Linked DNA regions of Tribolium castaneum. The protein of the gene in region 2 purifies or fractionates together with the protein of the main gene of each other region. This does not show direct contact. Links are inferred from orthologs where the notes say so. Each region holds a gene or a part of one and is shown on either strand. Other genes may lie near its edges.

The links. Proteins that work in one complex are often made in the same cells at the same time.
Region 1: the proteins of Klc (region 2) and Aplip1 purify together in Drosophila melanogaster (affinity purification with western blotting, with the first as the bait; 3 studies listed by BioGRID). This does not show direct contact. The link is inferred for Tribolium castaneum from reciprocal best matches to the Drosophila melanogaster genes Klc and Aplip1.

The regions. Positions count from the first base shown.
Region 1 is NC_087394.1:6,458,919-6,463,369, reverse strand, and holds the start of Aplip1 (JNK-interacting protein 1), read right to left. Parts: upstream 3,152-4,451; 5' UTR 3,092-3,151; coding exon 3,009-3,091; intron 2,903-3,008; coding exon 2,697-2,902; intron 1-2,696. UniProt on the Drosophila melanogaster protein: The JNK-interacting protein (JIP) group of scaffold proteins selectively mediates JNK signaling by aggregating specific components of the MAPK cascade to form a functional JNK signaling module.
Region 2 is NC_087402.1:3,660,155-3,664,798, reverse strand, and holds the start of Klc (kinesin light chain), read right to left. Parts: upstream 3,136-4,644; 5' UTR 3,110-3,135; coding exon of another isoform or gene 3,093-3,109; intron 2,675-3,092; 5' UTR 2,602-2,674; coding exon 2,573-2,601; intron 2,412-2,572; coding exon 2,195-2,411; intron 551-2,194; coding exon 238-550; intron 178-237; coding exon 1-177. UniProt on the Drosophila melanogaster protein: Kinesin is a microtubule-associated force-producing protein that may play a role in organelle transport. The light chain may function in coupling of cargo to the heavy chain or in the modulation of its ATPase activity.

The DNA.
Region 1 (4,451 bases), on a different chromosome or scaffold from region 2:
TGCATACTGTCAATTAATCATTTATTTGGTTTTGATAAAATAGGTAATAAACTAATTTTCCCAGCGCATCCACCATTTTTGCCAAACGTTGAATTCATTGTTACATAGAGTGTATAAAAGTAAATTTTATTGAAAGTAGGATTAAAAAAAAGAATCAAACTAGAAGTAACACTGGACTGACAAAACGGGCTATAAATTAGTAAACTCTTTATTCAAAAAAATCTTATGTTTTAACAAAATGAAACTACAACATTAACATTTATAGGACACTATACGAGTAGACACTCTGTGAAGAACAACTGTTTTAGTTCAGCTTAAACTTATTGTATTTAGCAGTGCTGTAATCGGACGTCACAGGTATAAACAACCAGTTACATGTGGAAAAAAAACATAAATATTTGTATTAGTGTAATTTCTTGTCGACTTGTTTTACAAGTGGTTTGTCATGAAGTCGTCTCAGGCAATAAGATGAGAATTATTTTAACAAACTTTATACGTTCTACTTGTTGCTTAAAAAATATGTATAAAGAATTAAACTCTTTGTAATAAAAAAAAAATTGAGTTATTTTACCTATGTCCAAATGTATTTATAGCCTCGATAATACGAACAGATGCAGTAGCCCTGGACTTTTAGTGTTTACACTTTTGAGATTGTACTGTAGTTTAAAATTTTAAAGTTATCATTTTTTACAAACTAGTGTGCAAAAAAATACGTTATGGACGTCCGTAAAGCCTAGTGATTTTCAAATAAGTTATACTGTATTACGGACTTTAGCTATTTGTTGTAATAAAAAAATTTATTGTCTTCGACATATTTCATGATAAAAACTCCAGATTTTTGTGAGAAAATTAAGTAAGAAATTGAACAATTTTAGAATAAAACAATATTGCTGTAGCTTCAACATCAATTTGATAATAACCAAAAATTTTGAGTGGTTTTAAGTATTTATTTTGAAATTTAGAATATAAAACTATTAATTTCTTTTATTATTGAAGTTTAAAAAAAAAGTGACAAAGCTACTTAGTTGCTAGAGGACACTAGCTGAGCAAAATCTTTTGCAGCGAAGCATTTAAATATTAGATGTCGCTCATAGGTAAGTTTTTAATTTCTTGCTAAAAAACGTACCCAAAAAATCAAAATTTTTTCTAAACTATATCTACAGATACATTTTCTTTTATTTATTAGAGGTTGCTGATAAACTGAAACTCATTAATTTATACTGGAAAACTCAAAAAATTATTTTTTCAAAACTCCAACAAGTTAAAGTTTCTGGAATTCTTAGAAATGCATATAATATTATTTGGAACGATAAAGTTTTTTATTTTCAGAAAATTTTTATAAACTAAGGAACTTATTTATCCTCGAAAACAAAAAAGAAATTTTTTCAAACTCAATCTAAGAGTGTTTTATGAACTTTCCAATTTCTTATGAAAGTCGAAGTACTAATGTTAGTATGACTATTAAATTAAATATAGAACAAATCTATTTTTTCTGATGAATTTATTTAGAAACAAAAATGACAATTTTAAAATTAGCCTTTATTTTAGAAAAATTTGAATCTTGATTCTATTTTTTCTAAAATCTTATTAAGTAATATAATAACAAAAGAGAAGATGAAGGAATTTGATCTTACTAATAAGGGTACAAAAACATTTCAATGTATTTTGACAAAAAATACATAATAAATAAAGCTTATTGCAAATTAGTTTTCTTTCAAATTAAAGTTTTTATTCTTTTTCTACTTTTTGTCAATTCATTTACCAAATCTTTCTATTATAGACTTTTCAAAAAAAACTCATGGTTTATAATTTTTCTCCTGCAAATGAAGTGGTCATTTCATCATCGGTCAGTAGTTTGAATTTTAGCTTTATTAGCTAAAGTCGGCACTTATTAATATTTTTGAAGAAAAAGTTTATAAAGTTTTCAAATCCTCTTAGATCTACCGAAAAAAATAACCACTTATTGTGCCCTATTATAAATTTATTAGAAATATTAATTGAAAGCTTCTGAAAAGCAAGCCTAACTTTCTTAATTTTTTCACTGTAATCTATTTTTTAAACAAACGTACGGTAAAAATGTATTAGATTTTTTGGCTGTATCAACTACGATTTGAATATTAACATGAAACCTAATTGCAGATTTTGTCCGAGAAAATGTGTTGAGACAGTTCGTGTACAGTCCTAATTAAACCAAAAACTTTTGATAAGTCTTTCAGTAAAGTCAATTTATGAATGTAAACTTAAAGTCTATTCATTAAATTTCCAGCTATTCTTGTTCTAGACAATCATAAAGTTTGATACAGCAGTTGAAACATTGATATTGATATTGATTTGCCTTCTGCTTTGAGTAAAGTAATTCATTATTTTGTACAAGAGCTTGCAAAGTACCTACCAGTGAAAATTAATTTCTTTTACAAGTCAATGGAGTGGGTAGAATATCAAATTAATTTCTGTGTATTTTTTTTTGGTTTTTGTAAAAAAGATTAGAACTTATTATCAGAGTTAACTCTTAACTGAACTAATTTTATTAACAAGTGCACCTTAAAAAAACATTTTGAATATTTTTGTTTTATTTTATTCAACCTGACCTTTCCCACAAATGATTTTCATAATCAAGTTAAAAGCAAGTCAGACTAACAAAAATTGTGTTTTTTGCAAATACCGGAATCGAAAGTGTGATGTGAATTCCCACTTACGTTTCTTATTTTTCGGGATTTCGGGCAGTTTTCTCCTCCTGCGTTCTCCCGTCCAGGGAGGAATGGGAGTACTCCTCGAAGGTTCTTTCTTTTCGCTTGTGGAGGAGCCCGAGAGTCTGCTCTCCTCCACAATATCACAGTCTGTTTCGGGGTCGCTCTTGGAAGACGTGGGCGATTCTTCATCCACGACAACATCATGAACTAAGCTTTAAAAACGTTACGTGAAATCAATACTCGAGAGTTGGTCGAGAAAGCGGAGGTGTCTTTCATTGACGATTTATATTTTGGCAAAGGGTTGGCGATTGTACTTACGAATAAAATGGTGCTGAATTTTTGGTGTGCGATGTTAGTTTTTCAAAGCTGTGTCTAAATTCTTCAAACTCACTATCAGCCATGTTTATTTTCAACCCCGCTCTAGTATTGATTGGGGTGATAAAGCGATTCTGCGCTAGGAGCCTGTTGCTTGTCCTGCCTTGCGTATCTTTGCTTTGAGGAAAGCCGCTTGTCTTTGTGATAATTTACTTAGCCGTTAAATCATCGCAGATTTCGTGAATGATGCAGTCTTATTAGATTACAAGGACAACTTCAGCTGGATGGAGGATCATTTAGATGTATTGTACGCGCACGAGGACTTCAATTAATGAAGCTTATCTCTAGAGGATTTCATTATTCTTAGGAAGCAGCCAAGTTATTCCCATCTCCAGATTTTACAATCGTTGATAATTATTTGTACATCTGTTTAGAACAGTGCAATAAATTTTAATAATTAAAATATACAGTGAAGATTTTATTTTGCTGAACACTGACGTTTCTGTGGAACTCTTTACAATGCATTTTGACAACATATAATAATACAATTAATAGTGTTATGTGTTGAGTTCGAATTTTTTAGTACAAAATGACGGAAAACAAGGCTAAAATAACCTTAAAAGTTAAGCAAAATATGCATAAAAAATACACAAAAACTGAAAATGTGTCTAAAATTATAATCAAAACTTTTTTCAAGAAAACTTCAGCTCCAAACAATACATATTTAACAAAAACAAACTTTCATAAAAAAACTGCGCCTATTACAATAATCATAGGGGTGGTAAAATATAAATCTACGAGAAGCCTCAGTTCAACAAATGTTATTAAAAAATAAATATAAAATAAAAAATATTTTGCACGTGAATATTATTTTCCAAAAATATTCGTTATCTAATTTTACTATTAAAAATTTACAAAAAATGTGGAAAAGAACCAATTAGTCGTTCTTTGCCTATAGCCAATTTCTACAACGTTATTAATCTATCAATGAAGTGAAATAATATATTTTTTTTAATTCTTTAAAAAAATGTTAATTTAAACAAACTTTGTGTACTTAAAGAAAAAATAGAAATAGCTAAAATAAAAAAAATAATAGTGTTAATTTGTAAAAAATCGAGATTGAGTTTAATCTAAAGAAATGTCTCACTTCGAATCAGTAGATAAACAGGCAAATAACTCTTAATTAGTTTAAATTCAGTACTTAGTTATGTTCTAATTAATTTGATGTTTCAAAAGATAAACATCATATTTCCTAGAGAAAGGTTTCCAGTGTGGTAAATTTTTCTAGTTGTTGGTCTTATAGAAAGTATATAGTTAATTTACTTGACAAAAGACAAGCTAATAATAAGTTACAAATTGATTTCAAATAAATTTAAGCTTTTTGGAAAACTGGAAATAATCCTCCACGCACTTTTAGCAGGAAACAACATTTATGCATTTATGCAT
Region 2 (4,644 bases):
TTGTTTTTTCCAAATCCTCCAGTGCCTGCTTGCATAACGGCACAGCCACTTCGTACCGTCCTTGAGAGGCGTATTGAATCACCAAGTTATGCAGCGTGCGAAGTCGTGCCGGAATTTCATATCCGGCATTCACTTGTTGTGAAAGTTGCAATTGATTGGGTGGCGTTGGTGACATATCTTTAAAAGAACACAAAAGATTGTCATTTTTTTCCACCCTTTACAATTTCGTAAACCTACTATTTCGATCCTCGTTATCATCGTCTGGGAAAAGATCGACGACCGGATCTGGTTTTTCGCTTCGTGAGTGCTCGCTAGTGTTGTCGTCGTTGACGTCCTGATCGTATTTACTAACGGAGCTCATAAATTCCAAATGACGTTTTTCTTCTTCTAATTGGGCCACGGTCTGTTCGCTTGCTTGGAGTCTTTGTTGGGTGGAGGCCAATTCGTCTCTTAACCATGCGTTTTCTTGGCATAAGCGACGCACTTGAGTTCGCAGTTTTTGTTTTTCGGCCTCGATTAATTGGAGGTGGTTGGCCAAGGCCATTATCACCTGAAGGAGAAATTTACTTGCCTTAAAATGCGACATTTCTACCAATTAATGCGTTTCCCTGGAAGCAAAATCCCTTTCACGGTGTTTAAATTCACAAATTTAATTACTTTCATTGATTTTGAGTAACAATTTAAAAAATCAGTGAGGAGACTTGTCCAAGGACAGTTCGAACACGCGACTTTTTTTCGTTACAAGAGACTATAATTATTGTATTTTTGTGGTCAGTGGTTTCATTTTTAAAATCAGGCATCAGCAGGAGTTAATTATGTCAGAAAGAAAAAATTCAGTTTAATAAGTAAATTAACAAACAAAAGCGAATTATTTTTATGACACTTGCTACAATAAGACGATGAAATTATCTCAATTTTACGATCGGCTTAAATTAATTTGATTACAGGCTGCCAAACGAAGAACTTTTTAGTGTTAATTTAACAATTATTTACCGAAACAGGCCATCATGTTATACAAAAAATATCGAACATACTTGAGGCACCAAGTTTTTTACAGCCCTATAACCAAAGCCATAAAAACTTGTTTTTCCTGGAAACCAAGAACGAAAAACAACGTTTGAATAAAAAACGTGGAAATAGAAAAACAAAAGGATAGGGTGAGGACATAAAAACCGCAATAAACATCATCAATAATCATCCCACGAGATTTAAAGCTCGATGAGCAGAAAGAAAGTCTAATTGATACAGATTTTAATTTGTAAACACCCAATTTTTGTTAAGAAATATGGTAAAAGTATAATGATTTAACAATAATAATTGTTGTTTCGTCACCTTCAAAAGTATCATTCAAAAGATATTTAAGACACTTGGAAGTATTGTGAATATTATTGAAGCAAATTCATGAATAAACTCATCACCAAACTTATTATTCTTATGCATGTAATGACAGTGATGACGTTATTACAAGCAAATGAGATTTTTATGAACAATCAACAATAAAACTGAATATTGTACTTTGGTCTCAATAATTATTTTTTAAATTTTTTAATTAAAATCGTGGGTACACAATCTAATGACAATATAATTTTTGGGTAGGTTGTGAAATAATATCATATGTAATTTACTCAAGACCGGTATAAACTGACTTATAAGAAGATTTTTTTCAGTTTTAATCAGGTATTTTTATCTGTAATTATAGAAGAAAACTTCAAGTTCTAGGTCAAATTTACCATTTAACTTTTAAATTGCATGGTTTGTTACAGTTAAATAATTGTTAGTTTCTACAACTCGTAATCCAAGTACGACTTTCACAATTTTTAATTATTTATTTATTTTTTTTTTCAAATAAAACAAATTAAACCCGGAATTAGGCCGCCATTTCTTTTTTATCTCTCATTCAAAACAAACAAACAATCATTTCATGGTTTATTACAACCCAATCTCTTATCTTAATCCTCCAATTATAATCGATTGGCATCTGAAATCCCGTCGAAAATAATAGAACCGCGACAAAATAAATTAAATCCAATTTTAGAAAGTCATCAATTGGCTTCGACACTCTCCTTCCTTTTCCTTCCCTCCCCACTCGCCTTAGTATGAGTCATCGGTGCTCCCCGATCGATGCAATCGGGTGCCCCTTTCGTCTCTCACACACCGACGATTTTATCTGATTAGAAAGAAAAATAGAACATACTTGCGCTTCTCCCAGTCCCAATTCGATCATTTCTGCACTTTGTTGCACCAGACCGGCGCGTTCATTGGCCACCGGATCGGGGGCTTCGTGGAGGCCATGGAGGATGCCGGCGTGCTCTGAGCGGAGCGCCTCCAACCCCTGAGCCACCGTTCGCACAGCTGAGACGATCTCTTCCTGCGACATCGCCGTCATTTTTCCCAAACTTTCAATTTTCTTACTGGAAATAAACGACAACTTCAAGGAAGTGGCGGCGGAATTATGCCACAATTAGGTTAGAAATTTGTAGAAAAAACGCCGGATTTCAAGTAGCACAAACGAAAGGCAAGCAAGACCGCCACAAGAACACAAAAGCTTGAACTGAAAACAAAACCAACTTACATCCTATACGCGTTGATCGTTTTAGACATGTTTTTTCGAATGCGTCCTCTTAATTCCAATGAGCACCTCGTTCATCACCTCACGATCGTTTAAATTGAGCGTCTATACAAAAACCTTATTTATATTTTTGATTATTGTAAAAGTGCAAGGCGTTATCACAAGACGGAATATGAGACAATGCAAAAATATATTTTTGGTCAACGATCACCCCCGCAATCAATAATAAGGCCCCCTAGAACATCACGCCGCCTTCCCTTTCCACCCCATAGCTCGAAAAAGGGTGTGCCACTTTCGGTAAAAACGCGAAAACTGACGTCGGTGCATCAAACGTACTGCGTCGCGACGCCGCGCCTGCGCCCCATAGCCCGACGAACCCCATCAGAAATTTGCACCCCTTTCGATCGGAAACCAATACACGTGTGACGGCGGGGGCGTACACTCCGAGCCGTGACTCACGCCCGATTTTTACAGGGGCGCTTCCTCGTTACTTTGCCAAGCGTGACGATTGAAAAATACTTACGTGTTGCTATCATCCATGCCACGGGAATGCACTGCTCACCTGCTATGGCAATCAGTAGACCATAGCGTAACCTGCGACATAAATAAATCACAAAAATTGACCAACGGAAGGAAGGACACCGACACTTGAACTGTGCCCCCAAACGATCGGGGGGACGCTTACTCACCTTTATTTGGCAGCCAAGCGTTAAAACACTCAAATTGGGCTATTTTTGACACTGCAATCACTTTCTTCTGACATTAATGGCTGCGCTTTTGATAACTCTCTTCTCATTCCTTTTTCTCTCAGTGTTAGAAGAGTGACAGATGATTGCCAAATCAGGGGCGCCACCTACCGGGTGCCACTAAGCCGGGTTAAAGTAACACAAATCAGGGTTCTGGCTTGCAAAACACACCCCAGTAATTAATTAAACACTTTGCCGAAACGACTGTGGACAAATTTAGAGGGCAAAGCCCGTTTTAGCCGATTTTTTCGTGTCAATTTAGGGATTTAAGTTTTGTCCGGTTGCGGGTGCGCACCTGTGAGTTCGTCGAAAAGTCAGGCGACTATCTGCATATGGCGATTCAGTAAAGTAGCAGCAATTTAGCTGTGTTGTTGGTTTTTCCCCCAATTGTGCCTTCAAACTGGCATTTTAATTAGTTTAGTACTTTGTCTGACGTGTCGTCTAATTGTTTGAGCGTTAATTCGGTCATAGATGGTCCGTGGAAGGTGCTACAAATAAAAGGTGAGATCACGTTACATGCATACTTTTTGCTTATTTTTTCTGCCTAAAAATAAATCAAACTCGGTGTTTTTGCAGCAAACTCCAGCCGGACACTTTCCTTGATCGACCCTTGAACGGACCTTTTTCTTTAGTTTTTGCTTCTGTGGGAGTCATCGTCCAGAAGGGCGCTACCATTTTATATGACTTTAGTAAGCCACAAAGGTAGGTGATAGCGTTATCAGTTCGATTTTTGCAGTAAAAGCATGACGTAACATCCAATTTCCATAAACAATCGAGCACGCTTTTTATTTTTTTTTGTACGAAGGCAGCGCTGGTGTCACGTGACTGCGCGGTCTGTTCAAATAAACCAGTGGAGGCGTGTTTGCGGGGTTTGTAATTTTCCGGGCGAGCAGTGGCGTGCGCTATAAAAATAATCGTGTCGCATTGTGGTGATCGATATGGCCGTGGCATTGCGCCGGTTCGACGACATCGATTCGCGCCGCGACGCTTACGTGGCCTCAGTCTCGGTGCGCGCCCTGAAAAACCTCAACATAACTGCTCTCCAAGCCACGACCGAGGGGCAAACGGCCTCCCCCATGCCCATGCTGTCGCCTTTCCACGATGGTGAGACCCGTAAGTTAAGTAGGCAATGATGGTCTGGCACATGTCAAAAAATTTTCGTCAAATGTAGTTCCGTTCGAAATTTTTCATCGTCTCGATGTACCACCGACCTATTATGGTACTTAATTATCACGAAACGGACGGTTTTGTCGCATTTTCAATGGTCACGCAACCAGTTTATTACCGCAAGTTGTGATTACAAACAGACCATATGGTAACCGGAAAACA